Arabidopsis thaliana: one gene and its partners. The protein of the gene in region 2 interacts with the protein of the main gene of each other region in a pairwise test. Each region holds a gene or a part of one and is shown on either strand. Other genes may lie near its edges. The genes, in order: AT3G22550, PPR2, SUA and ARCK1.

The links.
Region 1: the proteins of PPR2 (region 2) and AT3G22550 interact in a two-hybrid assay, tested with the Arabidopsis thaliana proteins (one large-scale study listed by BioGRID).
Region 3: the proteins of PPR2 (region 2) and SUA interact in a two-hybrid assay, tested with the Arabidopsis thaliana proteins (one large-scale study listed by BioGRID).
Region 4: the proteins of PPR2 (region 2) and ARCK1 interact in a two-hybrid assay, tested with the Arabidopsis thaliana proteins (one large-scale study listed by BioGRID).

What each region holds. Positions count from the first base shown.
Region 1 is NC_003074.8:7,989,042-7,996,462, forward strand, and holds AT3G22550 (NAD(P)H-quinone oxidoreductase subunit, putative (DUF581)), read right to left. Parts: upstream 4,548-7,421; 5' UTR 3,922-4,547; intron 3,771-3,921; 5' UTR 3,765-3,770; coding exon 3,037-3,764; intron 2,862-3,036; coding exon 2,786-2,861; 3' UTR 2,362-2,785; downstream 1-2,361. UniProt on the Arabidopsis thaliana protein: May act as an adapter to facilitate the interaction of SnRK1 complex with effector proteins, conferring tissue- and stimulus-type specific differences in the SnRK1 regulation pathway.
Region 2 is NC_003074.8:1,954,015-1,961,040, forward strand, and holds PPR2 (Tetratricopeptide repeat (TPR)-like superfamily protein), read right to left. Parts: upstream 4,291-7,026; 5' UTR 4,227-4,290; coding exon 3,900-4,226; intron 3,778-3,899; coding exon 2,644-3,777; 3' UTR 2,395-2,643; downstream 1-2,394. Other genes in the region: ATG8H (Ubiquitin-like superfamily protein), read right to left, coding at 1,205-1,293, 1,385-1,503, 1,608-1,660, 2,065-2,120, 2,218-2,260.
Region 3 is NC_003074.8:20,070,599-20,081,243, reverse strand, and holds SUA (suppressor of abi3-5), read right to left. Parts: upstream 8,143-10,645; 5' UTR 7,939-8,142; exon of another isoform or gene 7,842-7,938; 5' UTR 7,773-7,841; intron 7,446-7,772; 5' UTR 7,373-7,445; coding exon 7,325-7,372; exon of another isoform or gene 7,141-7,324; coding exon 7,100-7,140; intron 6,899-7,099; coding exon 6,184-6,898; exon of another isoform or gene 6,094-6,183; coding exon 6,022-6,093; intron 5,935-6,021; coding exon 5,842-5,934; intron 5,752-5,841; coding exon 5,672-5,751; intron 5,525-5,671; coding exon 5,371-5,524; intron 4,653-5,370; coding exon 4,568-4,652; intron 4,427-4,567; coding exon 4,335-4,426; intron 4,243-4,334; coding exon 4,174-4,242; intron 3,615-4,173; coding exon 3,435-3,614; intron 3,280-3,434; coding exon 3,087-3,279; intron 2,477-3,086; coding exon 1,649-2,476; intron 1,553-1,648; coding exon 1,365-1,552; intron 1,291-1,364; coding exon 1,102-1,290; 3' UTR 860-1,101; downstream 1-859. Other genes in the region: AT3G54240 (alpha/beta-Hydrolases superfamily protein), read right to left, coding at 1-216, 309-318; SCR (GRAS family transcription factor), read right to left, coding at 8,619-9,048, 9,163-10,645. UniProt on the Arabidopsis thaliana protein: Splicing factor that controls alternative splicing of the developmental regulator ABI3. Reduces splicing of a cryptic intron in ABI3, leading to a decreased in ABI3-beta transcript. Regulates the splicing of the receptor-like kinase SNC4/LRKL-2.6.
Region 4 is NC_003075.7:7,144,768-7,151,792, reverse strand, and holds ARCK1 (Protein kinase superfamily protein), read right to left. Parts: upstream 3,670-7,025; 5' UTR 3,525-3,669; coding exon 3,455-3,524; intron 3,408-3,454; exon of another isoform or gene 3,364-3,407; coding exon 3,266-3,363; intron 3,179-3,265; coding exon 2,968-3,178; intron 2,877-2,967; coding exon 2,639-2,876; intron 2,546-2,638; coding exon 2,407-2,545; intron 2,330-2,406; coding exon 2,021-2,329; 3' UTR 1,868-2,020; downstream 1-1,867. Other genes in the region: AT4G11900 (S-locus lectin protein kinase family protein), read left to right, coding at 1-52, 176-386, 496-733, 1,013-1,163, 1,262-1,552; AGL14 (AGAMOUS-like 14), read right to left, coding at 4,685-4,840, 4,960-5,001, 5,115-5,156, 5,522-5,621, 5,725-5,786, 6,078-6,156. UniProt on the Arabidopsis thaliana protein: Forms a complex with CRK36 that may negatively control abscisic acid (ABA) and osmotic stress signal transduction.

The DNA of each region.
Region 1 (7,421 bases), 6.0 Mb from region 2:
TATGAGACCAACGATGTTTTAGTAAAGGGCCATACCTATATGCATGTGGGGATGCCTATAAACCCAACTAGATAATTAAAATAATAATAAAAAGATCACCATAGAACTGATACAGGGAATATAGAAATTTATATTTTGGATTCTTTTGTGTGTGACTAGTAAAAATCTTGAGACATAAAAGCAAAATTAGTATGTGTAGAAAAATTGATTGGTGGATACAAGAACAGGTTTCATATGTCCAATAGGTTCATTGGGTTCCGTTCAACCTCTCGACCTTGTAGCAAAATGGAAATGCTTGTCCTACCCATCACATGTCTCATTCATGTATATATGTCCTAAAATGGATAATAATCAAATTGTGGGATATCTTGATAACAAAAAAAAAAAAAAAAAGAATGGTAAATCACATATGCTAGTTTGTTTTCGGTTACATGTTTTGTCTGAACAAAATGTCTAACCAAAGAAAGAAAACCTCAGTTATAAATATATGTTTGACAATTTTGTATAAATTCATTATCATCATCAACCTGTTCGGGCATGCATGTGATTTGATAATTAATACAATGACGCTTTGATTGGAGTTTTGACAAAATTAGCGGAACAGAGAAGCCTTTACTTATTGACCTAATTGAGCTAATATTCATTTTTTTTTTTGTTAAGTAACTTTTGTTTACTATTTTTTATGAAGTATAAGATTCAATTAATGGTCGCATGTTAAGTAGTAGCCAGAAATAAAATTTTCACGTGTACATGTATGCATAATGCATGTGGGTTTGTCTTTGTTACCCCTCGAATTTGTTTATTTGATTTTGTTTTCGATATGCTATAAAATATGGTGTCCATTCAAAATACTACTAAGCAAATTTGCACTTATATAAACGTGGTTTGGTTGGGATTAATCATGCACCTTTCCAATGATCAGATAACACTATAATAGTAATATATATATATAAAAGGACTAAAATTGCCTTTGTAAACTCTTATCCTAGAGCTTTCTCGCACATCTCATTCTTTCTCGAGTTTTGACAAGCTTTCATTTGAAGATTTTGTGAACCCGGATTAAAGTCATGGGTCACATTAACTGAGTGATCTACATCCGCGATTAGCCTAGTCGGACTTGGCTGATATGATAGTGAAAAACTTGAGTTAAAGACATGGAAGCTTTAGAGAATTTTGAATTACTTCATCATATGTATCTATACAGTTTTTACCAAATGGATTGTTCACCGGAACTGTAATGAAAAATGTACTAATTACGAACCTCTCAAAATACAATCAAGCCTCCACTCGTAGGACAAATTGTCAAAGAGAGAATTTTATCTGGCCCACCACGTGTATTAGCCAATCACGCCGCCGCTCGTAGGCCCATAAGCTGACTTCAAAGTTGGATTTTGTAAGACTTCATGGGTCCGACTTTTACGAGTTGCGGACTTGCGGGAACATAAACTAGTAAACTATTCCTAAGCATATAACAAGTAATAAGTGTTATCTGTGTCTATGTAGGTTAAGTGCATGGAAATACAATCTAGTTGATATGTGTTCAACTAAATAAATCAATGATAGTAGAAATACCAATCGTAACCATACCAATTGCTTAGCTTCAAACATAATAATAACGAAATCCACTATATATAGAACTTCGGTTTAGTATGGTTTGTTTGTGGATTGAACCAGACCGTTTAAGAGCGCAATTCATGTTATATATAAAAGTCAGTCGAAAATAAGAATGATTGAAACGGGCTCGGGCTTTACTTAAATCATGATCCAGAATGTTAAAAATCTGACCCTTAACAGGCTTAAGCTTTTGAATATATATATTTTTTTTTTGTCAACTAAGCTTTCAAAATTGCTTTAAATTTGTTTATAATTGGAGTGGTGAGGATCTTATACAAATTTTAATGGTTAACATAATGTACCTCACTAATTTATATCATTTTTTGGAAAAAATAATCAGAGTTTTTAATGTTGACAACGAAACGGTGTCAGTCATTCTTGTATAATTATTATCTCAAATAAAATTCAATGTGCTCATTTAAGATAGTCACTCAAGTAAGACATAAATTATTAGGATTTTGATGTATCAATTCAAATTAGATGAGGGCTATATAATAGTGTAATGCTCTTCGAAATAGTACTACAAGTTGTTTATATCACATTGTCTCTTAGATAAAGAAAAAACAAAAGAAGGATGTGAAAACACATAGAGCTTCTTGATCTATAACATCATTTCCACGTAACTAGCCATTGAATATCCTCAATGTGACATATCTTTGCAACTGTCTTTTACATTGTTCGATTGTCATTTCATTGTTTGTTATCTTCTTCATATCAAAACATAGTTACTTATAGTAAGAAAATCATACATGCATCTATAGCTCGGTGACTAGTTAGTAATCTAAGGAGATTTTCAAATCACGATTTCAAACATTGAAGACGAGAAATAGACTAATTTACATGTCCGAGTATCAAAACACGAAACTAAGAATTATGTGTCTTCTCCTTCTTGAATTTTGATGCTCGTGTTTTAGTTTTCTGTCTTGACACCGCAAATGGAATTGAGTTATTGTGATCTCTACTGTTTATTAAAGATTAAAAGTAACCATTAAAGTAAAACATGTATATATGATTATGCATGTAGACACATAATACACATAGATACCGATACCAAACTCTTCTCCAAACCAAAACAAAAGCAACTAAACAAAATTCACCATATCTAACGTTTTATTAATCATAGTCATTATCATAACTTTTTTTTTATATATAGCTCAAATAAAAACTTATTTCATTTAGTATCATTTTCCTCTGACATCATCATCTCTATGGACCTGCATTCACTGCTACAGAAAGCTCTATCTCCCCTGCAAATTAAAATCAAAACAAAAATTACTTATTTATTTATTTTTAAAAATTATTAATTAAAAAATTAAATTAATTAGCCATTCTAAATATTAATTTTCTCATAATTTATATTAAATTTCACATTGTAAATGTCACCATTTAATTGAAATGTAAAAATATGAAAATAAGCCAAACCTGTACATGAAAATGTCATCACGAGGCCCAAGACTCTTCTTACAGTTACAGCAACAACTGAGAAAACTGTCGGGTGGGGAATAATCCGAATCCGATTCATTAACCGGGTCGGAGCTCCGGAAGAAAACGACGCCGGGTTGGCTCTCAACGATACAGTTATCGAATATATGAATGGTTCTCGGGTTAGGCCCGTGACACGTCACGCATGTGTAATCCTCCGATAACTCCATATCGCTCGCCGGGAAATAGCCGGAGATGATTCTGGGAGACCCAAGACCCGACTCGGAACCCGGTTTCTTCGTCTCCGGTTGAGAATTCCTCGTTTTGATCCCGAAATCCGACGAGGAAATCGGAGAATCCGGGACCCGGATCCGAAGCTGAGACCCGAATAGAATTGTCCCGGATCTCGGTCCGGGTTCGGGTGTTTCGTCTTGGATTAGAGAATCGACAATGGCGAGTCCGATTCTTTTGGGTTCGAGTTTGAGACGGGTTTCGGGTTCTTGGGTTTTCGGGTTATCGGATCCAAATGGGTTTTTCAAAACAGAGAAAGGTTTGGTGTCGAGAATTGAAGTTGGACTCGCGACGGCGTCGTTTTCAGTGAAGCTTTTAAAGCTACTAAAAGCTGTGAAGAGCCTCGGAAACGGCGTCGTTTTACTCTGTTTCTGATTCTGACTCTGGTTTGTTTCCGCCATTAAAGCTTGCTTGCTTCTTGATCTCTTCTTTAGCATAATTCACTGCTCAATCACACACACACACAAAAAAGATCAAAACTTTATAACAATCAAAACTTTATAACAATTACACAAAAAGATCATAACATGTAACTCAATAACACATAAAAATCATAACTTTGTAACTCAATCATGCAAAATTGTGTGAACTAACCTGGAAGATCAGAAAGTTACAGGTTGTGGAAGTATGAGAGAAAATGAAGCTAATGCAATTCTGTTGCCTCCATGATTAGAGAAAAAAATATGAAAGTGTGACAAAAGAGAAAAGTAACTGAAAAGACGAGAGCTTTTTTTCTACAAAAATGTTATTTTTTTGTATAACTCCCGAGTTTCTCGCACTTTCTTCCTAAAATATTTTATTTATCAAGTGACATGAAACGTTACACTAGAGATTGGAGAAAAGAAGAAGAAACAAACAAAAGAAAGAAATTGATCCGTTTATTTGTTTTTGTTTGCTTTTGCTTTTTATAAATAATTTGGTTTTGTATGTTTAGTGGGTTATAGTTTCGATGAACTGAGAAAGAGAAAAGAAAACAAAACATCCCCACTGATTCTCTTCCATATCCTCAAAATTCGCCATGAAGTTTTTTCATAAGCAGAAGAAAACAGAGAGCACTAAAGAGACACACACTTAGCTTCTCTATCAAATAATAATACTTATATGAATCACATATATAGAGGGAGAGAGATTTACAATAGAAATCAGTGGGTGAAGAAAACCACTTCACCAGTGAAACTTCCTAAATTCGTTTTATTGTATAAATTATTATTGATTTTAGGAATTTTGTCTTTTTATTCTTTGCTGATTTATTATTTTGCTTTTTGGGTTATGCCAAGGAACCACTCACGTCGTTTTCTACTGACCCTTTCGTCTTTTTATTTTATTTTGGAATTTTCTTATAGTTTTCTTTCTATATTATTTTATTTGTTTATTTTAGAGAAAAGGAACTTTAGAAATTTAATGAGAAAGAAGTTGAATAATACTCGTGTTGTATATCGTACTAGTTACGACTAATCTATCAATGGAGGAGTACTAATGTACTATCACAAATATTGAAATATATGTGATTTATTTTAAGTATTATAGTATTATATAACTTTTCGTATTTTGATTAGAAATTCACATTATAGTGTACTAAAACGTTTTCAAAACAGAAGTTTGCAAAGTTGTTTACGTCTTGCATGTCATTTAATATAGAAGAAAAATGTACTTCTCACTTGCATATGGTGATTAAGTAAATTGTCTATTACTGTTAGGTGATAACATTACATATTTAAAAGGTGTGAATAAGAAAGATATTGAAGAAGACTGTTTTGGAGATGGAAATGTAGAAACAAAATATATTATTCTACTTCATTTTCATCTAAAATTATAGATGGGATATGAAAGACAGAAAGAGATCCTTTGCTAGTAAAATAATGTCACATATGTATATGGATTTATCGATCATATCTTCTTATCGTGACTATAAGTATAACTTTATCCATCAAAAATTTCTCTTAACCGCAGTTTCTTCAACGGGAGTAACTCATATAAACACGAACTAAGCTAGTTTCTTCAACGGGAGACAAATAGAGATGATGAATACGAGAACTTTTGGTTCTCTTTTAAAATCATTATTTCATATATACTTTTTCTCGTGTAATGATGTTAAGGTACGTTGTGGTGGTGATGATGACTATATTGTTAGCATGGGAGCTAAGTGTGGGTGGACTCGGTCGCTCAGAATCGTAATGGAATGAGATACGATCATACGTACGAATATATTTCACAATCTTAACTGAATATCTCTTTTGCTTTCGTAGCTGGCTAGTCTCTTTGGGTGGACATTACACACTTGTTATATTATATATGTATAACACGAAAAAAATATCACTACTTAAAACCAAAACTAGTGATAAATTCGTATGAGCAAACTTGATAATCATTACTTTAAACAAACACTATTAATTGCTACTACATACTCTATGGTCCATAAAGTTTAATGTTTTAGGTTTTATTCTTGTTCCATAAAAATTGACTAAATTTTAACCCGCGGTATACCGCGGGACGATTTATTTTTTAAAAGTAATATATATTAAAATTTGCAAATTTTATTTTTATAAAATATTTATATTTTACAGTTTATAATTGTTATTAAGTAAGGCTATAACACGAATCTATGAGACAATTGTTGAAAAACTAAAGTTGTAACCCCTATTAAAACAGCATATTAATAATATTTTAAAATTTTATAAATATTGATTCAAATACATCCACCATATAACCCAATTACAAAATAAAACTCGTTCTATAATTTCTTTACCCGTCCCGTGATTTTTTTTTTAAAGTAGTAATTTTTAAAATTTAAGAATATAAAAGTTTTGCAAATTATATCATTCTCTAATACATTTATATTTTATATATAGTAACATTATACATACCCCATAACATTTTTGGTTTTATATAATCTTTTCTAAATTAGGATGATTTGATATGTTTAATATTAGTGGTCTTAAAAAATAATAAATTAAAGATTTAACCCGTATTGAAACGGTATATTAATTATATTTAACTTTTTTTATTAATGTTGATTCAAAAACCCGTCACTCCAAATCCGTCTTGCCAAAAAGCCATTTATTTTATTAATATTAATTTTATTAATAATATGACTCTGAATTATAATCTAAACATTTTAGCTAATAACATAGGAGTATACCATTTTTATTTAATAGGGGAATGTACCATATGACCCGAATACACTTTTACCCAAATCCACCAAAAAAGTCTTGCAAAAATAGTATAGAGATAAGAAACGATAGTCGGTTTTGATAGGTATAAGATTAGCAAATATATTAGTTAGCTTAAATTAGTTAAATAATACAAATTGAAAAGGTATATTACACTTTATTCGAATATAGTATCAAAACTTATATAACACATAGATTTGATAAATTTTTAATTGTTGAATACTTTTTTTTGTGCTAATTTTTATGTGATTAAGATTTAATTTAAGATTTAATTGATTTTGTATATAAAATATTAAAAGTAAATTGTGAGTTGTATATGTTTTGTTGATATTATCTATATTGTTTAGTGTTTAAGATTATACACTTGTAGTTTGATTGTTAATTTAAGAGTTTCACATGTAGTATACCATCTTGTATTAATATCGATCTAAACCCGTCAATTCTACGATTTTCCAGCTTGTATTAAAAATTGAATCACATCATACACATAAAAAAATCTAATATGTTATTAATTATTGTAGTATATAAGATTATAAATTTTCAATATAATATGTATGAAATTGAATATAAATATTTCAAATTATGACCCGTTATAATATTTTTTCATGTATTGAACAGTTTATATTCGTTTTCAAAAATTCAAATTATGGCATATGCGAAAAAACTCTAATTTTTTTTTTTATAATGATGATATTATTTTTCGCAAAAATAGAATCATATAAAGATGAGAAGTGAACTATAATAATTAATAAAAAATTAATATGATAATTTAGAGATCAAATCTAATTTGTTGATTTTAATAGGTTACTTTTTTGGAAATTAATAGTGTATTTCGTTTTTCTAATTAATTTAAATTAATTAAAATTTAGATATCAAATCTTATATGTTGATTTTGATTGGTTATTATTTTTGAAAATTAATAAT
Region 2 (7,026 bases):
GAAAAACTCTTTTTTGTTTTTGTTTTTTGTTTTCTTGAGTTGTTCACATTGGTTAAAGTCGTGATAGAAATACTATAATCTTGGTTTCGATCCACATAACAAATCATCTTAAACAATAAAACCACCGCAGATTACGACTATACATTGTTTGTCTAAAATTCTGTTTAAAATTAAATTGTCGGTTATCCTTTCTTAATCTAATCCTTTTTATAGCAAATAAAAATAACAAGTCTAACTAACACACTGGGAGCACAATTATTACGTCCTGGATCAACTATTTTATTACATTATATCGTGTTTGTAACCGACATTGATATTTATAAATAAGAATGTGGCAGTTAATTAGGAATAACCATCTTTTTTTTTGTCAAGGAATAACCGAATCTATATACAAATGAAATGAAAGAGCACAAAAATTCCAAAAAGAAGCTTTGATCCAAATAGTTTTGGACATGGATGGCATCGTAACATCCCCCCAAGAATATACTCGATCAATTATTGGTCTCCTTGTGAAATTTTGTTTTATTTGCTCCGAAATATTGAGTTTAGTTTGAGATGGTGCCAACGCGTCATTAATCACTATTGAACTAAAATAGAGGCATTAATTAAGTAGTTATAAACTCGTTGGAAACAGAAAAGTTTTAAATCCTCATGTTAGAAGTGATGATTAAGAAGGAATAAAATATGTAATCGGAACATAAAATGTGTATAAACAAAAGAGGCAAAATAAACTTGTAGAGAAGATTAACCATATGATGGATGGATATACATAAACAATATTCTAAAAATTGCGGTTTTCTTAAAAACCTTATCGCATAAAACACACAATCCAAGTCGTAGGGTACACGTTTACCGCCGCACCGACATTGCAATTTCTTTAGGTCTCATTTTACCACATCTCCCCAAACTTACGTGCTTCCACGAAAGTATCTATATTCTTTTCTTTTTTTATAGGGAAGAACAAAACGCAAAAAGAGTTTCGTGTGAATCATCATCACTTGGTCTTATTATTATTGCCATAGTTGGATTATACATAATTTACAAAGTCAAATGTCTTTCTTTTTTTTAGCTTTTCTGTACAATGTCAGCTAACAACAACAATAACAGTAACAACAAGAGCTGACGTTATTCACAAACATAGGAATCAAACAAATGGATTATTCAGAGTGCGCTTCGATTTCGATATGAAGCGACAAATCTTTTGTTAGCCGAAAGTTTTCTCGGTGCTGTAGCACATGTACAAGAACCCGTCTTCTTCCTTGAAAGTATTGTAGAGAGAGTCCATGCGACTAGCTGCATAATTCAAGACAAGTGTTAATGGAAAGCTTTGGAAAACTGCAGGTAAAGTCTCACTCTACATGGATGATGATACTTCTTATCTTACCGGTTTGAGGAAGAGTGTTGTGTACGAAAACAAAGAGAGCTTTGGATGGATCTAACTGCATCCTTTTGCTTAGCATATGGATGAAATGTCCAACAGTCATGTCTCGTGGGACCAAGTATCTACAATAAACAAATGCGGGATACAGAGTTAAAAACAAGATTATTCACAGTTAGACAGGTTACACTTGGTTTGGTCCAACAGCTAAATTGATGTCACAACTCACTTGTTCTTCTCCATGTCTGGCAGATCTGCGTTTGAATATTTCTCAATGATCACCTACATAAGTAAATAAAACCCATCCATAAATGCTGGAATCTGATGAAGAAACCAAACCAAGAACAGATCCAAATCCCTAAATCAAATTGGTTTGGGTTGTTGTTGGTGATAGATCAAATCTCAACTAAAGAAGTCGTCTCCGACATTGACCAGAGTGATTGGATCAACACCAAACCGCACAAAATCAGTCAAATTTCAGATCCCAGATCGTATCCATCAAACCATGGCGAAGAAATTCTAAGATTGAAACAGAGATTCTAGCAAATTCGAGAGATGCAAGTCAAACGAAGACTTTTTTTTAATTGAGTAAATCATTCGAACCCTAAGGAAATCCACAATCGCACGGCAACTAAGACGGAAACACCAAGAAACAAATCAAACATGAAATTTATGAAATAACTTACAGGTATTCTATCTGGATATTTCGCAATGATGTTGTTCGACTCCTTCAATCTCTCATCTATATCCTCAAACAAAGATGAAAACTTTGCTTCAGAAGCACATTTCGAAGGAAAAAAAATTCCAAAGAATCAGAAAGAGATTAACGAAGAACAAACCAGAGGAGAATTGATCCTTGAAAGACTTGACAACAATCCCCATTACAGATTTCACGACGAATGATTCCTGACCGAATCGGTGTTTTTTTGTTTGCAGAGAGCAGAGGAAGAGGATGTGTTCAATTTTATGTTTGGTTAGTTCGTTTTTGATTGTTCGAGAAGAAACGGTAAAAGATGAGAGAAAAGAGATTATTTATAGAAAGACGACACGCACTTATCCACTTTTTGGACTTGTCCGATTTCTTGTGCACGTCACAGTTTATCTATGGGCCTCTATTCATAATTTTGGGCCCATCAAAATATATAACACGCATAGCTGCAAGAACAATCAAGTGTATTACAAACTCTTTTATTCTACTCTTTCAAGTGAGACATCGATCTCTCCTTGCAGAGAGAGAGAGAGAGAGATTCACACACAAACCGCAATCATCCTGCCGGAAGATTCTCCATCTCTTTTGTAGCAACAGTGCGATCCATAAGCTTTTGCCTCTCTTGTTCCAAGTAATAGATCTTATCATTCATACCTTCTTTTTCATACGCCTCGACCATGATCTCAAACGTTCTTGAATCGCATACGCATTGTCTCTCCTTCATTCTTATGTACACTCTTTCCATCTCTATCAGATCATCTGCTTTAGCACACGCTGATATCACCGCGTTGTAAAAGGCAGTATTCTCGGGTATCTCAAACTTAGCAGCCAACTGAACACTACTTATCACCTTGTGGAAAAGACCGGCATTGGCATATCCGTTTATGAGACAGCAAAAGGTCTTTGTGTCTGCTTTCATACCTTCGCTACGCATCTGATCAAATGTCAACTCCATGTTCTTTGCATCACCAACATCCGCAAACGCCTCGATGATATTGTTGTAGGTTGATGTTGTCCACGGAAACTCTAGCTTTCGCATGTATTCCATGACAGACGACATCTTATCATACATTCTCTTCTTCCCATAAGAACCAATCAAAATATTGAAAGTCCGAGTCTCTGGCTCAATCCCAAAGTTCCTGAACTTTTCGTACCAGCTCTCCATCATGTCTATCTTACCCATGTTTCCAAACACACTAAGGATGATATTCATAGTCCACACATCGGGTTTGCAAGCAGTACTCACCAACATATCAGACAAAACTTTCTCCATCTGATCAAACCTTCCGACCCTACCGTACCCACTTAAAACTATGTTCTGGGTCACAGTGTTTGGAGTTATCAAACGCTCGTCCATTTCCTTGTATAACGAATCCACCAAGTCAAACTGAGAAGCATCCACACAAGCCTTGAGCAGAGTGCTGTACGTGAAAACATCAGGTTGGCATTGAGGAAAGCTTTTCATTTTATCAAGAATTGAAAAAGCATCGTCGATGAGATTGCTGCGAGTGTAAGCAGCGAGAAGAGCAGTGTAGAGTTCAACAGTTGGTTCAAGTCCTTCTTCAAGCATTTCGTCGAACAGCTTCTGTGCACGATTGGGTTGACCAGATTTACCGAGAAGAACAAGCAGCTTCATGTAAGTTCCTTCCTTTGGTTGATAAAATGTTTGTTCCCTCAACATATCAAAAACCTAAGATCATCAACAAAATACCCAATTCAATCAAAATCATCTTTCAGCTAAATTATACTCGTGATTCAAAATTGAGTTCAAATTCAATCAAACATGAACGAGAAGAGAGAAAATCGAAATACCTCGAGAGCTTGTAACCACTGCTTTTTGGCGATGAGATCGGACAAAGTTTCAGTGACGGTGTTAACCCATCCGTTAGCTTTGCTTCTCCTGTCAAGTTTCTTCTTCACATTCTTTATCGGAGTTCTTCTCTGATTAACCGGCTCCGTGATTCCGGGGAATTCGCCGTCTTTCCAAAGCCTCTTCTTCGTAACACTTCCCGGAGAAGATTTCGAAGCAGCCAAAACGCATCTAACGATGCCCACATCTCTGTGACGAAACCTACGCTTACCTTCGGGGATTCTGGATGAACATAGCGAAGAAGAAAAGGAGAGAGACATTGACGCCATCGTCTTCTTCCTTCACACCTCACTGTCACTCTGTTTACGGATAATTCCCGTCGATACTCATTTCGGTTGGATATGGTAAAATACCGGTTTATATAACCGAACCGGAAACACATTTGATCCGTTCAAATCCCTTAAAAACCGGATCGTATTTTTAAATATGATCACATAATTGATCATTTAAAAATAATACGAGGCTATTTTTTTGGTGTTCAAAAAGATAAAAATAATAATATGAAGCTCGCATCTCTGTAAGTATATATATATATAAAACTAAAAGGAAAATCACGAATTATAGTATCAAAAATAGATTTAATAATAAAAATAAGGATTGGTGACTGGTGCACAAAAGGTGGTAACAAACAAACACAATCTTGACTAAATTCTATAGAAATATCCCAAAGAAAAAAAAAACAAATCCAGAAAAATATTGTATATTGATTTTGATGATGTCGATGTTGATGTGCAGATATTACTCTTTTATCTATTGCTTCCGTTGGAGTTTAGTTTTGTGGCAACAGTCTATTGTATGACTATCTGGGGATTTGGGAGTTTATCCGGCCGGCAAGCATACATTCATTGGTGTTGTTTGCAACGTTTACAACATTGTTATCATCTATCTTTTATTTACCATAGTAAGCTCTCTCTCTCTCTCTGGCTCTCACTTATTGATGAATATATAGATAAGTAAACTATTAAACTGGTTTTGATAAGTTTTTAATGCGTGAAACAATTAGGACAAAATGCCGCCGGAGACTAAGACCTTCAAGTACATGCCGTTTTGGCTATCGTTAGTTCGTTTCATCAACGCTGGAATTTGGACTGCTTATTCTTTGATCTACATAATTGATATCTACGTCCTTGTAAGTCCTTTTTTGTTTTTGTTTTGATCTACATAATTGATATCCTTTTTTGTTTTTGTAAGAAGGGCGAGCTAAAGAGTTTGAAGAGCTTAAAGGCGAGCTGAAGAGCTTAAGGCGAGCTGAAGAGCTTGAAGACGAGTTGGAGAGCTTGAAGACGAGCTGGGGGACTTGGTGAAGAGAACGAGTTGATAAGCTTGACGAAGAGGAGCGAGCTAACGAGCTTCTTGAGAAGGGCTCGCTGACGAGCTACTTGAGAAGGACGAGCTGACGAGCTATTTGAGACGGACGATCTTCGTGAGACGGGCGAGCTGACAATGTGCTGTCTCGGTGATAGTCAAGCGAGACGACACGTAGTCCATATTAGAAAGGGGTCAAGCCACACGTAGTTCATATTAGAATAAGTGAGCTAGGCCGTCATTGGAGGTAGGTCGGCAGGTAGTTGACGAGCCGGCAGATGTGCGACAAGCTGGATGAACCGTGGTAGAGAGACGAGTTGGATAAACCGAGTTGTTTGCTGAAGGTCTAGACGAGCTGGACGACGAGATAGGTGGACTATGCAGTCAATGGACGAACTGCCGCTAGGCGAGGAGGTAGATGAGTTTTGTTTTCGAGGGATGAGCTGATAGCTAGACGAGGAGTTGGACGAGCTGTATAGATGACAGCTAGACGAGGAGATGGTCGTTGAGTGGAGCATGAAGACGAGCTGAGAAGCTTGAAGACGAGTTGAGGAGCTTGAAGACGAGCTTAGCAGCTTGTTGAGCTTAATGGCGATCTGAAGAGTTTGAAGAGCTTAAAGACGAGTTGGAGAGCTTGAAGACGAGCTGAGGGACTTGGTGAAGAGAACGAGTTGATAAGCTTGTCGAAGAGGAGCGAGCTAACGAGCTTCTTGAGAAGGGCTCGCTGACGAGCTACTTGAGAAAGGCGAGCTACTCTGTGTCTGCGTGTCAGGCGGAATTCCCCCCTTCGACATGACATGCTATTCCGTATTTATAGCACTACGCGTGTAGGGCATTCATCGAGGGATTTGACGAAACTACCCTTCGCCTTAATACTCCTCCTTGGTTTGGAACTTATTTTGGGCTTTTGACTTGGGTTTGGGCATTGGGCCAAGTAGGCCCAATCCGACCCCTAATAGTTCGGCAAGGAGGAGTATATGATTTTAACCCCCCCCCCCATTAAATCTCCTGATACGTATTGAAACTTGAGGGTTTATGGTTTATGTTATGTTTCACTTATTTTGATCGTGTGTTGAGTTTTGTAATGAGGATATTATTATCATGTCTGTTACTTTTGGACTTGTTAAATTTTCGTAAACGTTGTTGCTTTTGTTGTATCGGGGCACACTTATCCGGATTTATCGATTATGCAATTGCCCTACTACATCACATTATTATTTAAATTTGTCTTCAAGTTTTTATTTCGCATAGCACATATATAAAGAAAACGCTTCGTTCAAACTCGTCTGTGAACTCCATAAAACTTATTAAAAAATCCGTCCAAAAAAATATATAGTATAGTTTGGATCGCATGAAAACATATCTAAACATAAGTCTTTGTTAGGGGTCGGATTGGGCCCTTCTCAAGTAGTTCATCAGCTCGCTCCTCTTCGTCAAGCTCTTCAGCTCTTCAAACTCCTCGGCTCGTCCTCAAGCTCCTCAGCTCGTCTTCAAGCTCTTCCCATCACAGCGACCATGTCCTCGCCGCCTAGCTGTCAGCTAGTCAGCTCGTCCAACTCCTCGTCTAGCTATAGCTCATCCCTCGTCAACTACCTGCCGACCTACCTCCAATGACGGCCTAGCTCACTTATTCTAATATGAACTACGTGTGGCTTGATCCCTTTCTAAGGGTACGTAGGCAACCTTTTACAAGGTTCAGCTATAAAACGAATAAACTCTATTCTTCCTCGGACATTAAGTTCGTCTTCCGGCCTCAAGCTCGCC
Region 3 (10,645 bases), about 18 Mb from region 2:
ATGCATGGATAAAGACGATCTTGAAAGTGGCATTTTGTCTACTAACTCCATGTTCTTCATAGGCTAAATAACGGCCATCGCTGAGACGTATCCTAGGGGCGGTAATAGGCGGTCCACCTGGGGTTCCGCATCTCTTAGGAGGTGGAGGTGTAATGGAAACAATAGCCCATGCCCCTAATCCAATCAACACTATTACCACTGCTCCTGTTATTAACCCTATCAAAATATTCAAATCAATAAATCAGTGATCACATTTCCTTCATCCCTTTTGCAAAACTTACGTTTACTTGAATCAATCAAAAACTCACATTTCTTCATGTTGAAAAAACCTTGATAAAAAAGTTGGGCAATACCAACTTATTTCAAAAATAATTGGTATGGGTTTTAAGTGTAAAACTATATTTATAGGGTTGTGTAAAAACTAAATTAACAGAGAAAAGCTCTTCATTTGCATCTCACGTTATGACAACGCAAATCACGGTGGATTCACTGAAAGATCTTTTGAGGCATTTATCCGGAAATAGCCGGCAGCAACTAAACCCAGCCATTATAACAATGGTTCCAACTAACGTATTAACCAATCTGTTTTTGGGAAGAGCCAATGACAGACACGAGATTAACTAGTTTTACATGTCACCTTTACTAACAATTATGATGAAAAAAAAGTAATGCCTAGAAATTGATATACATCAATGCATATATTCTTCTCGAACACCTGCAAACAATACTTTTTAGGTTATTAATGTGCATGAGCATGAAATAACAATTAATTATTATTCATTAACAAAATAGAATTCTGAAATTTTCAAAAACAGTTGTATTTATCTGATATTTTTTGTGAGCTAACTTTCGTAATTAAAAGCTTTGAAAGCATATATTATTTTGGTAAGTTTTTTAAATACTGTTGTTGTCTTCGGGTCGTTGTTGCCTCCAGATACATTAATAATACAAAGGTTTTAAGGTCCATATAAACTCAAGTAGTACTAATCTGTCTCTTTTCATTAATAATAATTTAACAAAAAGAACAAAATCAAAATCACTTTCACAGTTTAAGCACAACGGAATTTAGAAGTTTCCAACTGACTTTACACACAGAGAGAGTCAATTATTGTCAGACATGTCACGAAATCTCGCAAGTGCTTTCTTATGGAGAAGAGTTCTGTAAGTGTCACCAGGCTGAACCTCAAACTCAGCATCAACTTTCTTCTGCTGACTCCCAAGTCCTGCTCTCCTATCAACGCCTTGCGCTTGCACCGGTTCTTTCATTCCGCTCCCGTCTTTCCCCAAACCCTGACCACAATCCAACAATCACCATTAACATATAAACGTTACCCATCAATCAAATTTCTGGTTTTTAAAGTTACCGATCCTTCGTGCCAACCCATGTTCCTCAGCATTCTGTTTCCCACGTTACTCTCATCTATTGCTCTCTCTTCTGTAATCACATCGAAACTACTGACTTCGGTGCTTGTTGTAATCCCACGTCCACCCACACCAGGAGGAAATGGTGTTGGATCCGATGAACCTTTCCTCAACCCCATTAAATCCTCACCTTCATTTAAACGAACCATTTTCCCAATTATAACAACAATAAAAACCTCATTTCAGGATTCTATTTTTAGAAAAGTCTAGAGTCAAGGGCTCTTACTTGAATCAATAACATCATTTCCACTTGATGTTGATGAGCCATACAAGTTTCTTCTTTCTGCAGCACGGTCCCGGTATGATGTCTGAGGCTGTTCTCTATGAGTAGGCCCTGCAGTCGGTGTTTCAGAGAACCTTCTTCTCCCACTCCCAGAAACTGAAACCGAAGCTGGAGAAGCAGAAGGTAATATTGGCGGCATTTGTACACTAGCTGAAGAAGAAGCTCCACCCAAAGTTCCTCCAAAAGAACCTCTCATCACCCCCATCAAAGTTCCTCCTGTTGTACTGCTGCTCGAGCTTTCTGCAGTTGTCAGGGCAGAAACTCCATGATTGGAGGTACTTCTCTCCTTCGCAATAATTACATCAGATTTCAGTTTGCCCATGGATTGTCCAGTGGAGAAAGACGACCTTGCTTCAGCCGAAACTGTAGGTGGATTGTCACCAAGTGAGGGTGAGGGACGTTGTATTTGGGTTTCATGGCTCCGCTGCTTCCACATTGTTAAAACGTTACTCATTTTTTTCTTGCTGGCGAGTAGGCTAGTCTTTGATGCAAGTTTTATCTCTTTCACTCTCTCTTTCTCTCTCTTCTCTGATGCAATTGCTGCTGCAGCAGCCGCCTGAACCGCATCTGGTAAGGACAGAACTTTTTCTACATTAGGGGTAGTAGCCGCCGAGATAATAACCTTTTGTTGACTGGATTTCTCCTTCTTGGCAGAGTCTGGTTGGTTTTCTGTTACTTTACTCTCATTGTTCTGATCAGGACAAGGAACATATTGTTGTGTTTGCTGGTCATACGAGTACCAAAGCCCACTATTGCTGTCATAATAGAGACCTGTATATTTAGAAACATACGATTAATAGAGAATATTACCCACTTCTTATACCAGTGAAACCAAGTTTCCCATCACCACACACCAAGAAGAGGTGCCTAGTGATAACCAAGATCATTAAAACAGTCTATCATTGTGCCATATCAGATGCGAAATTTTAAGGCACATACACATATATAAGAAGGCATAACTCAGCAATAACTAAAAGAAAAAACTTCCATTGGAAGTCCAACAGCAGCCATAATAGTAATCATATAACACTTGCTGAATCCCTACAGCCATTATTTAAAAGTCTAATTAAGACATACACTTGTATGATTGATTGATTGTATCTCGATGTTTGCTAGTTTGGTGCATACATAGTATAAGAATTCCACAATCATAAAAAAGAACAGGATAGTTTGAACAAACCAGAGCTGACGACTTATTTTTGCCAAGAAGTTATCCTATAATAGAATACATCTATAGCAGGACTATACAACCAGCCAACAGGATCAATCTTACTTTTGCCCATTACATGTTTTGCAATGCCAGATATGGGAATTAGAGCTGCAGCTACCCAACCATACAATCAATTCAAAGAAATAAATAACAATATAAGTAAATGCCGACCTGAATTTCCATCGTAGTAGTATCCAGAAGCCGCATCATAGTAATAACCAGATGCTTCATCCCACACATAGCCAGACTGTGGAGCAGAAGTCCCTTTCTGGGATTCAATTTCCCCAACACCCTGGGCCTGCCCTCCAGTGTTTTGTTTCTCACCAGTATTGTATTCCTTTGGAGCCCATCCAACACCGTCATACTAATAAGGACCAACATGAGTGTCAGGGCACATGGAGTAGAAGAATCATAAGAATGACAATCCTCATCTAAAGATACTGGAAAATTTAATTAAATGATCAATGTGTGATCACCAATACAAACGAGGGAAACTGGATCAAAACAATCTTCAAGTACCTGTTGAGAAAACGTTGCTGCTTCAATTGCAGCAGCAGCGAGGTTGTTGGAGTGCGAGGGTGCTGATATACCAGTTCCAGAACCATGAACACTCTTTGCATACGCAACTCTAAGAATTTTACCATTCCTTTCAAGAGCTGTTCTGTTTGTTGCTTCAAGTGCCTTAGTAGCATCCTCAACCTACACGAACATAATCATAATCTTCTGTTTCAAGTTGGTAGGTGGATTAAAAAAAAGTCAAATACACACATAAACTGGGGGAAAATAGATATTTGGACATATCAAGCAGTTCTACTACAAAATCTGATCACCGTTCAGATATGAAATTGGTAAGAGAATCAGTGACGAAATAAATAATCTACTACAAGAGCTTTTACAAGTCAATGCAAAAGGTGGTTGTCGAATGTAGATTATAAAAAAGTACGACAAAATAAATGATTGAGTGCGCTCACCACCAAACATTGCCAAAAATACCCACAAAACTAGTAGATCATGATTACTAAAGAGACACTTAAACATTTATAAAAAAAAAAAACTATAAAACATAATCACTCTTCACAAGCAGAATAAAAACCAGGTGGTACTGATCATCTAGACTGGGTTTCTAATTTCTACACAATCGAATAAATCTTTGATCAAAAGGCACACTTGCAATTTAAATCATCAGTAAGGGAAAAGCGAAGCAGAAGAGAGAGTTTAAGGAGTAAGTTCAACAACCAACTTGGCTTTGAGACCCTACCGAATAGAAATGCACGAATGCAAATCCTCGTGAAACATGAGTGAATTTGTCTCTCACAAGACGAAGATCCTACAAAATGGCGGAAAGAGGAAAACCAGGTCAACTGACATATAAAGTACAATATCTTAATAGACAACGAATCCAAAAGGGTTTTTGTTAACCTTGATAGGAGCATGTTTGGAAAATTCATACCGAAGCATTTCCTCATCAGCATCTTCATCCAACCCACGTACAACCAGGACATGAGTTGGACCTGGAAAAGAAAATAAGCAGAATGTATCTTAGGTATATATGGCATGTAGAAAAGTACAAAGACTATGGCCTTAACAGTTGCGACTGTTTCTGACTCAAGAAAGAAATTTAAAACATCTTAAATAAAAATGCTGATCAGAACCTGTCTCAGAAATTCGTTTTCCTGCTGCAGAGTTTGATAAACCTACATCCGCTGAAGGAGAATCCTTGGTCTTTGGTTCATTACACTGCATAAGGAGACAGAGATCACAGACATTTATGCAATGGCCACAAATTTGTTATTCCATATTATAACTGAACTTAGGACTTTTGAGTGTTCTATCATAAATCAAGACACAGACAGCGGCATGGCAAAGAAGGGCTACAGATACAATTGTCCACCACAAGATTAAACTATTGATAAAGACTTCACAGAGTTTAAGTAAATAGAAGGAAAGATAAATTAAAAACCCATCAAAAAAGATCAGTTAAAGGGTTTTAGTTGACTTCTTTTTTTATTGACATTTGAAAAATGGAAATTTCTCTATTTCCAAACAAACTATTGTATATGCAAACAAATACATTCTAGCATAGGTATGGACATCAATGTGTCGACATTAAATTAAAATGTTCATTTACCATTACTACCAAAATATGTATGCCACCCTAGTCTCAAACAAAGTGTCAATTGATGATACATATTCGTCACCAAAAGGAACTGCAAATAATCTCTAAGGAGCAAAAAACAGATATATTCTGAAAGTTTTATCGGTTCTATTTTTTTTAAGGTATTGTCGTCACCAAATCATGAGTAGTTATCACTTTGTTTGAGACTCTAGAATCACCAAACAATGAGTAGTTCTTCCGGTAATTAAATATATGTAATTTCTGTTCTTAACAGATGGGTTTATACTCTAGTCCTGACAATGAAATTTACAGAACTTTCATCCAAAACAATGCACCAACCTGAAAGCAAGAGGTTCGCCGCGCAAAATTGATACAGCCACAGATTGTACAGATCCAATCTGTGGGAACTATCATGTTTCGACTTCCACCATAACTGCGTCTAGAAGCATGTTCCTGCCTACGGGACACACCAGCCCTACCAGTAGGTTGGCTGCTACAACACACGCAATTTAGTGTAAGAATGTTATACTCTGATACTGAAACGGTCAAGAAACAATAATTTAAATGTGTAGTAATTCTATGATCCCTCCATAGGTAATATCTAAATCAATCAAAGTCTTATGTTTATTTAAAAAAAGACCTGTAATGGAACATAAGTTTCCTTCCATCCAAAACTATACCATCATGCTCAATTCTATCCATCATGGTGCGTGCGGCATCCTGCTCAGACAAAATACATAAATGCACACAGTGTTGAAGAAATCACAAGAAAAAGCGCAAGGAATTAACAGATTAGTTGAAAGCAAATACCACCGTGGGGAAATCAATAAAAGCAAATCCACGAGAAATCCCAGAATTTTGCTCCCGAATAACACGAACATGATGCAAAGGACCCCATTCAGCCTAGCATGCACATGGGAATAATGAAGTCATGCATGAAAAATTGTTTAAACCTGAGGACATACAGATTCAAAAAAATGAAGAGTTTACCAGAATCTGGTATAGATCTTCTTCTGTTGATTTCATAGAGAGACCCTTCACAACAACAGTGGCGGATGGGGTCTAGCAAAAACCATAAAAATATAGGAACGGATTTTTTAAATGTCTTCGCAACAAAAGAATATAGACCAGGGATGAGAGAATATTTTATACAGCAGAAAAATGATCCTGGTTATGTCTATCTTCATATTCTCTTCGCCTCTCACTTTCATTCCAGTGATCCCCCTCATAGCTGTCCTCCCGGTAACTCCGCCCATGGCTCCGACCTCTAGGAGATCTTGATCTAGAGAACTCCCCACGTCCGGTAGATCGAGATCGTGACTTCTCATATCTCTTATGAGGACTCTCATCTCTTTCGCGGCTGTAACATCTTTTGTCCCACTCCCTATCACGTGAATCCCATTCTCTATCTCGAGAATTCCGTTCTCTGTCCTGCGGATCACGGCTCTTTCGACTGCCATCTCTCACACTGGCCCTTTCATACTCAGAATCATAACTTCGGCGAGTATAATCATAATCTTTTTCACGACCATCATCTCTGCTATGATGGTAATTTTTCGATCTATAGTTGTTATCATTACAAGAATAGTCATCGCAGCCATCATATCTGGACGACCTTTCGTGTTCATGATCACGGTAATGTCCATTACGACTCCCAGCTTCACTATCATGATAATAGTCAGCAGCATAATTTGAATCGATGTAAGGCTTTTCTTGCCTGCGAAGTTCACTGGGATAATTTTCTTCATAGTTTCGCTTTCTAGATTGAGGCAAGTCACCCAGAGTATTATGTCCAGGTGGATAGTTGTAGACATCATCCCGCATCAACCTTTCATCAGGATATCCGTCATCATATGATACGCCAAACCTGTAAGAGCAATGTAGTATAGGTACAGAAAAGATATTAAAAAAATGAAATATGAACTATCATGAATATTTCGGCACAAGTAACCAAACCAAATAAAGTACAAGAAATACAATTTAGTTACAGTAGCTAAAATAAATATACCCCCATGAGCAATAACAAATTAACAACTACATCAATGTAATCCATTTTACTAGCACTCACCGATGATTTGGATCATGCTGAGTACCATAACCCTCCGGAGCCTGTGAATTGAAGAGAATAAGCTATGTCAGCAACAAACATCATTGACGGATATTACATTAGCCAAATCCCATCCACATCCTCACTCTCCCAAGTCTCTCACTCCACGGATGAGTTGAGATTCATAACATCCCTAAAAATATCTTGTTTATCATCCCATATATGTAAGGAGAAAACCACAATTACACTGTTATTATCCCATTCTTGCTGACGACCATATCGACTAGGATCCATTTCCGGCCAGTGCACCAAGCAAATCTTTGATGGTCTGAGAGAATATTCAAAGCTTAATATTTAAAGCTCTTTCCTGAAAATCACGTATAGAGTCTGAGACAGGTATATCTTAATGCATATATAATTAAGAATTCCCAACACTGATCACAAAGAGACTTTGTAGGAACTAGCTAGAGATTCTCTCACTCTCAGAGTAGAAAAACATGCATTGGCGATGAAGTAACAAAAGCACGAGAAGAATGCATACAACAGTAGAGATCATTATATTTTCAGCTGACGATTAGGCCTAAATTCTCAGTAATCGAGTCTTAAAAGCTATACAAAGTAACATACAAAAAACTTGAACTGGTCACATCCACGAAATCCTCAATAAAAAAGAAACAGGTAAAAATGAGAATACCTGTGATGAACTGAAAGCAGCACAACGACGCCGGACCAAAGACACCAGTGAATGGAAGATGAAGATGAGCTGTGATAACAGCGGAACAAAGACTTGGAATAAGAGATTGATTAATAGATAGAGCGCAAAATCAGGGAGCCGATAACCAGAGGTCAGAGAAACAAGCCTGAAACCGGTGACAAATCAGATACGCTGCGATCGATACAGAAACGAGAGAGCTCGAGCGATGAAGTAGCCGTATAAATCGGAATGGTTTCTACCGTGGGAACTCAAATTGAAAATATTCAACAGCGATCGATGAATTACAAGAGAAATGAATTCAGAGCTCCACGGTGGTGGACTTGGCCGAATCCAACTTTAACCAGATTAGGGTTTCGTTGTTGTTCAAGCGAAATATGAAAAGGCGTAGATGAGTTTTTTTTTTTTTAATTGAAAAATCCAAACATCTCAATTTCTTTGCCATAACAAAAATAAAAAACAACATGTATATATTTTTTTTTTGGAAAAAAGTAAACCAAAACAATTCAAGTTGCTAAAAAAAAAATACATAACAATTCCCAAAAAAAAAAATGGTAGCCTTCAAAAGAATTGTGTATTTGTAAATGATTTTTCAGTTAAACGTGTTATCATTTTTATTATTGATGTACCATTTTCAAGTGTTTTCTTCAATATCAAGTGTTCTAATCTTCATGATTAACTTCTATGTATTCCACCAATCAGGTAGCCAATACAGAGTGTGAGTGAGAACAATTTGACTTCAAAAAATCCTCTCTTTTTGATACATAACAAAAAAAAAACAGGTAAATCTATTTATGGGCACATTGTTTGTGAAAAAGGAGAAGAAAACTAAGAACGAGGCGTCCAAGCTGAAGCAGTGAGTAACGAAAGATCTTTCCATCCAAGCTTAAGTGTACCATTATCATCAACCAAAGTGTAACCATCCGAAGGAAACATTCCCAACAGTAGAGTCGCTTGTGTAGCTGCATTTCCAGCTAAAGATATACCTTTAAACCCACATTGTTGCATTTTCTCCCTCCAGCTCTCAAACTTCACTTCACCGCTTCTCGATGGTCCTCCAACCGCTAATACATTCCGTATCTCTTTCGATAATAGCTGCTGTTCCACGACATGTCTCTCTTCACTCTCTTCGCCGTAGCTTGCTCCCAGTGAGTCAAAGAGTGCAGAGTAGTAATGTATTGCTTCTACAAATCTTCCTAAGAAAGAACCAGCGTGGCTCAAATCTTGTTCCACTACTGTCACAACTTTAGGAGCTAATCTGTTCATTCCCCAATCATTAACCAAAAAAGCCACTTTTTAGAACATATCTTTCCTATATAATCTTAAAATAATTTATAGATAAAGAGTGATTAAAAGGTAATGTTTATTTTACCTTTGGAGTAACCAGAGAGTGTGTGCATCAGAGCCAGTGACATCATAAAGAGAATGTTGAAGCCAGTGAACAGCCACAGCTTCCCTTTTCCTCACATTGAGTCTCTCAGTGTCCAAGTTTCCAACTTTCTCAGCTAAAGGGCAGAACTCAAAAGGCAGGCCAAGCTTATCTGCGAAATCCGAAAGACGTTTCCCTGTAGCCTGAAGAGCTTCCATGGAAGTACCAAGTCCCGTGAGTCGCACGTGTGGAGGTCCTCCAGGTCTAGAAGCAAGAATGTGGAATAAACCAGGCCATTGAAGTCCCTGCATGATGTCCAAGTCAATGATGTGTACACTGTCTTCTTTCTCAAATGCTTCTTGAATCGCCTGATTCGCTGTAAAGTGTGAGAATTTCACTAAAGGGCTTATCCCATTAAAGACCTGAAACGCAGAGACCATTTTCAAGCTATGCGTTTGAGGCATCCACCGTGAAGGCAAAGCCGCGTAAATTCCGAGACACGAGTTGAGTAATCTCGCTGACATAGCTTCCGAGAAGTAAGCAGCTACTCTCTGCGCTGAGGTCCCGTAAGGAGTTGATAACTGAGAGATCTCAAGAAGAAGCTTGTTTGCTTCTTCGAGATTATCAGCAGAGACAGCTTCAGCACACTGTAGCAGCAATGTGAGAAGGTGTAATCCTTCTTCGTCTTGCTTCTGCCTCTTAATCTCTTCCTTCCTCTCTCTTAAAGCCTCCGCCGTATTTGTTTGGACGGCGGGAACAGTGGCCGTCACTGTCTCTGGTTGCGGTGGTGCATCGGTAGAAGAATTTTCTCTTTCTTGCTGCTGAATCGGAGGAGGAGGAGGCTTATGCTGTTGTTGTTGTTGTTGGTGCTGCTGTTGCTGTTGTGGAGGAGAAGGATTGTTGGAGATCTGATAGAGAGGTTCGAAAGTTTGAGGAGAAGGGTCAGAGGAAGAGGAAGGATCAAGGAGCATGAGAGATCGGAGCCTGTATTCAAGAAGAGCACCGAGATTTGGGTTACAAGGGAAGATAATGTCTCTAACGTTTTGGATAAGTTGAGGAATAGAGACTGAAGTTGAGGAATGGATAAGGTCTCTGATAATGGCGTCAACCCATACAGTAGGTGAAGCAGAAGAAGATGAAGAGTCTTGATCCATTGGTTGTACGGACATCATAACATTCCGACCACCACGGTCTGAAGGAAAAACGGGAAGACCAGAGAAGCCACAAACAGAGAGTGGTGGGTTTGGTTGAGAAGATACAGTAGCCGCCGCCGTAAGAGACGGTGGTTGTTGTGGTGTGACAGTATTGTAGTTGGAGTCAAGAAGGTGAGAGACACGGCGAGGAGGACGAGAGGAGTTGTTGTAGTCAGGGTTAGAAGACATCTCGGAAGCTAATCTTTTTCTCACCATCACTAAAGGAGGAGGAGGAGGAGGAGGAGGACCACGGTTGTTGCTGCTGCTACTACCGGAAGAAGTTGTTCTCAGAG
Region 4 (7,025 bases), on a different chromosome or scaffold from region 2:
TTTCTCTAGGAAAAAAAAGTTAGGAGAAGGTGGTTTTGGTCCAGTCTACAAGGTATTAATTAAACAATACAATTAATACTGAGCTTGTAAGTTTGTTTGGCTAAAGGTTTAAACAAAGTAGCTAGTTTGAATATCATCATCGTTACAATCTTACTATAGAAACTTTGATGGGCAGGGAAAGCTACCAAATGGGATGGAAGTGGCAATCAAAAGGCTTTCAAAAAAATCAAGTCAAGGTCTGACAGAGTTCAAGAATGAAGTTGTTCTGATCATAAAGCTTCAACACAAGAACTTGGTGAGGCTTTTAGGGTATTGTGTTGAAGGCGATGAGAAGCTCCTAATTTATGAGTACATGTCGAATAAGAGCCTTGATGGTTTACTCTTTGGTGAGTGGTGAATATAACTATCCAAAACTACTACATTTGAATTTGAAATATAAATAATTGACTTCTTAACGTTCTGTTTTTGGGCACACATATATATATATCTATATAGATTCTTTAAAGTCTAGGGAATTGGATTGGGAGACACGTATGAAAATAGTAAATGGGACGACAAGAGGACTTCAATATCTGCATGAGTACTCACGTCTCAGGATCATTCACCGAGATCTTAAGGCAAGCAATATTCTACTTGACGATGAGATGAATCCTAAGATCTCAGATTTTGGAACCGCAAGGATTTTTGGTTGCAAGCAAATCGATGATAGCACCCAAAGAATCGTCGGGACATTGTAAGTGTACATCTCGTATAGTTAGTTATGTATCCACTTGTTTCAAACACTAAAATGTTGAGTTTAAGTTTATGTTTCTCAGTATTATAACACACATACTTTTTTTTTCATTCCTAGTGTCTTTGCAACTTATTTATGAATGATGTTTGAAAAAACTAAAACATTGTGCTGAGGTAAGTACATAATTTTTACATGTCAATGCAAAGGAAAAAACAATCACTACCTATATGTATTTACATTAGAATCTTTGGATTAAATTTCATAAGCGGTTAATTTCAGCGGCTATATGTCACCGGAATATGCATTAGGTGGAGTGATTTCAGAGAAATCGGATATATACAGCTTTGGAGTGTTGTTATTGGAGATCATATCGGGTAAAAAGGCGACAAGGTTTGTTCATAACGACCAAAAACACAGCCTTATTGCTTATGTAAGTGTTTCTATAGTTCAATATCATTTATCTACCATATATAAAAACGTAACTTACCTTAGATCAATCCCAAACTATATGTTGTTGATCATCTTCAGGAATGGGAATCTTGGTGTGAAACAAAAGGTGTAAGCATTATAGATGAACCAATGTGTTGTTCGTATTCTTTAGAAGAAGCGATGCGGTGCATTCATATCGCACTTCTTTGTGTTCAAGATCATCCTAAAGATAGACCCATGATTTCACAAATCGTTTATATGTTGAGCAACGATAACACTCTTCCGATTCCGAAACAACCAACTTTCTCAAACGTGTTGAACGGGGATCAACAGCTAGACTACGTATTCTCCATAAACGAAGCAACGCAAACAGAACTGGAAGCGCGATGAACATTAACAATACTTGGTAAAAATGTTGCTATATCCCCTGAATTATTATTATTTTTTATTTTTTTTTAATACCAGGAGGTTCTGGGCCGAAGCCTGTAATCTTCCAGGCCCGAAACCACAACATGTAATATTAGTTTCGTTTCAAGTGTCACTCGAACCGGCGACCTATAAGCTTCGTGTAGGGTTTTTACCAATTGAGCTAACGACACTTGGTTATCCCCTGATTTATTAGATAAGAGTATTTACTTAAACTGCTTATGTGATGCTGAGAGTGTTCTTTAAAATATTTTATTCTTTGTCATTTGAAAACAAAGTAATCAAATAATTGTTGAATCGTCCTAAATGGTCTTACTGGATTTGGGCACAAAAAGAAGAAGACAATAGCAAATTACGACTTGAACTTATCAACCAACAATTCTTTTCATCATAAACTCTCGTCAGTCTAATAAAACAGAGCACTCAATCTCCTTAACGTGAAGATATGGGTGACGTGACAGAGCTGTGACCAGGAGATAAAGATGGCGACCAGGGCCAATTTGTTTCTTCCTCTACAAGAAATCTATTACCAAATGTTGGATCAGGTAAAGGAGTAGAGAAACAACTAAACCAATGCAGAACTTTATCAATATTCGGCCTTCTCTCAGCATTCTCATCCACACATAGCAAAGCAATGTGAATGTATCTCAAGATTTCGCTTATCGAATATTCTCTTTCTTCTTCCCTCATCACTTCATGGATCACATCTATGGCTTCTCCTCTGTTCCAGCATCTCCTAACCTAAAAGAAGACAATTCATACGATTAAGGAACCACTTAATTACCATCATACAAACTTTTACTTAAATATAAACTCACATATTTGATTAGAGAGTCTCCGTCCACACTCCAAGCCTTCCTTCTGCTAATGATCGTCAAGATTGTAACTCCAAAGGCATAAACGTCAGATTTGACGGAAACACGTCCGCTTCGTATGTACTCCGGATCTAAATACCCTCTGTTGATAATCAAAAAATGTTTTATACATCACACTCTAAACATCTTCAAAACATTTACCCTCAAGCATGTTAAATCACAAAACTTCACTTACACGGTACCGACAATTTCAGTTGTTTCAGCTGCGTTTTCACCTTGTTGCATCGTCCTCGCCAATTCAAATCCCACTATTTTCGGTTTCAAATCTGAATCCAATAGAATGTTTCCAGGTTTAATGTCGCGGTGAACGACCCATAACCCGGATTCTTCATGAAGGTAACGTAGCCCTCGAGCTATGCCATCAATAATGTTTCGGCACATCTCCCAATTTAGCTGAGCAGCTCTGTGTGGGTCTGTAACACATTACCACAATGACTAATGATGAGAACTTGATACTAGACTAGATTGTATTTGGAAAGGGTACTCTGTTTTAAACTGTCTAACCGAGTATAAAACAATCGAGGCTTGAGTTAGGCATGAACTCGTAAACAAGACCATGTTGGTCTCGTTTAGTGCAGAAACCAAGAAGATTGATCAGATTCTTGTGTTTAAGCTTAGACAAAATAATAAGTTCGTTATGAAACTGTCTCTCAGTTCTAATTGAACTTGTAGACAAAATCTTGACTGCTATTTCTTGTCCATTTTGAAGCCTACCCTGAAAATGATTTAAAAGGATGTTTTAATTACAATTTCTTACCATACACTAAAAACGAACCAACGTACGAAACCACTAAAAACAAACCTTGTAAACAAAACCAAATCCGCCACGACCAACCAGTTCTGAGAAATCATTTGTTGCAGCTTTAATGGTGTCCAAGTCGAATTCGAAAACTGCTGTATCTAGTAGAGACAAGTAGAATTAAACATAGTTTTGTGTGTTTTGTAACAGATGTGAGGAAAAGGTTTGAGAAGAAGAAACATGAATACTTACAGCTTATAAACTCAGTAGACTTCTTCTTTCTACGTCGGAAAACGGTATCGAGAAGCGAAGTAACGGCCATAGCAAAGATGAAGACGAAGACAGTGTCTCTGAATTTGCTTCAAACAAGTATTTAATCCAAGAAAAAAGAAGAACTTATTAGACAAGTTATTTAATTTCTTCAACGGTTGACTTCGTTGATATTGTTAGAGTCCACTATGTTGACCTTGACTTCTACTATTCATTTTGGATATTTTGGCTTCTTCATTTGTTCTTGCATTGTTTTTAATACGTAACAATTAACTTATTCTGAATATTGATATTATATAGTTTGGTATTGAAAATCAAATTATATTTCAACTAAAATGAAAATGAAAAATATATTATTTAGAAGTTTACTTTGTTTTGTTTTATTTGTATGTAGGTTCAATAAATAACAAAAAATAAATAGATATTACATAAAACATAGAAGATATTAGGTCTGTTGTTATAATAAACATATATATATATATATATATATATATATATATAACCATAGAATTCTACCATTTTTTTTTGTTTGTCACAAAGAATTCTACTTCAAGATGATGTTCTTGGAAGGAACGGAACTGAATTTTCAGCTACTTAGAAATTTCGAACCAAACCAACCACGTCACGTAAATGACACGCTGACAAAGACCGATCATAGAAAGCCAACGATTTTTGGGTCTAGACCAAGTGTAAAAGGACTTTAAGAGGTCGGTGCAATGCAACTTTTCCCGAGTTCAAAAGACCATACCTCTACTAGGATTCAAAAATCTTTCCAACTGACCCATTATTCGTATATAAATCATACATCATCTTCATGTCTAGCATGAAACATGGAGATCTTATCCGCAAAGCCATTATAGGGAACCGACCTAGCTACGCACCCGGATTTGTTTTCACTCTCCAAGAACTTGTCCCGAACATATAATATATCGATCAAATTAGTTATATTCTAAACAATTATTTTTAAAAAGATATGAAAAAATTATGTTAAATAAAAAACCTGTTAAACAATTTATTCTGAAATTATTTTAGGATTGCAAAGTTGGGTGAGACGATACAAAAGAAAAAAACAAAAAGAAAAAAAAAGCAAAGCTTAAATGCAGTAATCTTTTTTTTTATGCAACTGCTAAATTCAGTAAGTAACATCAATTTTTCTTCAGGGAAAAAAGTAATTCCCTACATAATATCTATATAAGCATTGTACTATATATGTTAGTTTGAAGGAGGAAACTTTTTGAAGTGTCGAGTCTCAGGAGGTCCAATGAACAAATCAGTCACCACTTCCATTTCATTGTCATCTATATCCAGTTCTGATGTTGATGATGATGATGATATTCTTCCTATTATTCCTCTTCCTTGCATCTCACACTTCATTCACACATTTCCTCAAATTAAAACACACTTTTTGAAAAAAAGCAGATAATTTCATAATAATAGAATGAGAATTGAGAACATAAATCAGCCCGTAAGTTAATATTAATTTGTACCTTCTCCATCAGCATTTTATTTTCTGCAATGAGGTTCCTCTCCTAAAATATTGACAATAAACCATGAAATATGGTTTAACCGTTTAATTATGGGAAATATGATTAGTACCTGACCAATACATTTGTACTAAATTAATAAAAAAGCTACATGTTACCTTTTCTTTTAATTTCTCAGTTTCTTCTCGTAATAACTGGTACTGAAATTAAGGAATTAAATAGCTAAATTAGTTGGTAAAAGACTCATTAAAGATAACATATAAGGTGATGACAAAAAAGAAGAAGAAGATAACATATAAGTCTTTTCTCAACACATATGCATGCATGCATGCATGCCTCCAAGTGTGTGTGTGTGTGTGTGTGTGTGTGTATGTGTGTATTTGGAGTGTTTATAGGATGATCCCATGTTTATATTGTTTACATAATCAACTCATTTGTGATAATCGAACCAGGCGGCCACCACGTCATTGTCATAAATCTCGATGAAACAATAACCATATGATAAGAGTGAAGATTTTATTTTAAAACTAAGAAATGATCACATATACAATAATCTAGAAGTTACCTTTTTGGCTCTTATTTTCATTAAGCTTCTGTCCAACTGGTTCTCCAATTGTTGTAACTCTTCTATAGAAGATGCGTCAAGTCCTTCTCCCATCATTTTTCTGCAAATGTATATATTTTTTAAACATATGGTAAATAGACGCTTACAATGTAAACGTTACATTCATAACAAAATATTCGTATAAGTATTTTGAGTTCAAAAACCGTGTCGAAATCTCCAAATGTTCGATCTTTCTCGCCAAGCCATAGGTTTCGTCCTTCGATTGCTGTCAACAAGGTTTGATCATGAGAAATGCAAAACATATTTTCTTAACCAAAATTGTAAGTACAAATATTAATATAAAAAATTATCACCCATGTTCGATAAATAAAGCATACACTTTAGCATGTATATTAATTTTTTAAAAGTGGTACACCAAAGGATCTACACCATAAAATTGTACTAGATATTGATATAGAATTTCTTTTTACTTGAGCTCTGGATAAGTATATTTTTAGCAAATGTATATATATGAAAATAACCATGATAAACTAACAATTCTATGAAGTTTGGTTACCTGTGAATTATCATTTCTCTTATGGTTAGACCCGAGATCTTGTATTCGCTTTTGATATCTTTCTACTGTTTTAGGTATACTGAAATTAAAATTTCAAAAATCAAATCAGTATATCAAAAACAAAAACAAGTCAAATTAAAGGAAATAATTAAGAAGCAAATGTCTAAGCTAGATTTCTCACAATTTAATGATAATGCTTATAGTATTGTGATCTAATAAAAATTGTATCAATCTTCTGCTGATCTTTTGGATTTATAATGAAGTAAGAATATCAATAACTAAAACATAATATATAAATGTTGCAATCTGAGTTAAAGATATCTTCTAGTCATGTGGATATGGCTTAATTAAGTAATTAAAAACTGATTAACAGGTAAATACAGTATGTGTAAACAACACCTATAGTTAGTTTTGATTTTTAACCCTCTTGGCTTGCTTCAAAAAAAAAACTAAAATATCATTCTTTTTTTTTGTCTAATAAAGTACGTACATGTAATTAAATAACCACATAGTAAACATACAAAATAATTTATAACTATACAAAATATAACAAATAGAGAAATCATAAAAAGAATCAACATAGTCTGATCTAGACACATGCTAATGACACCTTCACTGTCATCACTCATCACTCATCACTCATCACTCAGATAAAGAGGCCTTTGTAATTGTACTATTTGGGTGAAAAGTGTGTCAAATGCTTCTTTGTTACCTCAATATTGAATAAACATACATAAATCCTAAATGTACATAGGTGCATGCATCCACATATACACACATTCAAAATGGTATAGTGACGATTTTGAAAAGAAAAAGCGTTAGTATTTTTCTATTTTTGGTTTGAAAATTCCTCTTTGCCCAAGAGTAAAAAAGAGAAGTAATTTTACAAAACAGAAATAAATTAAAAGAAACGTTGGTCAGCTATTTATTGACGGGTACATGTACATA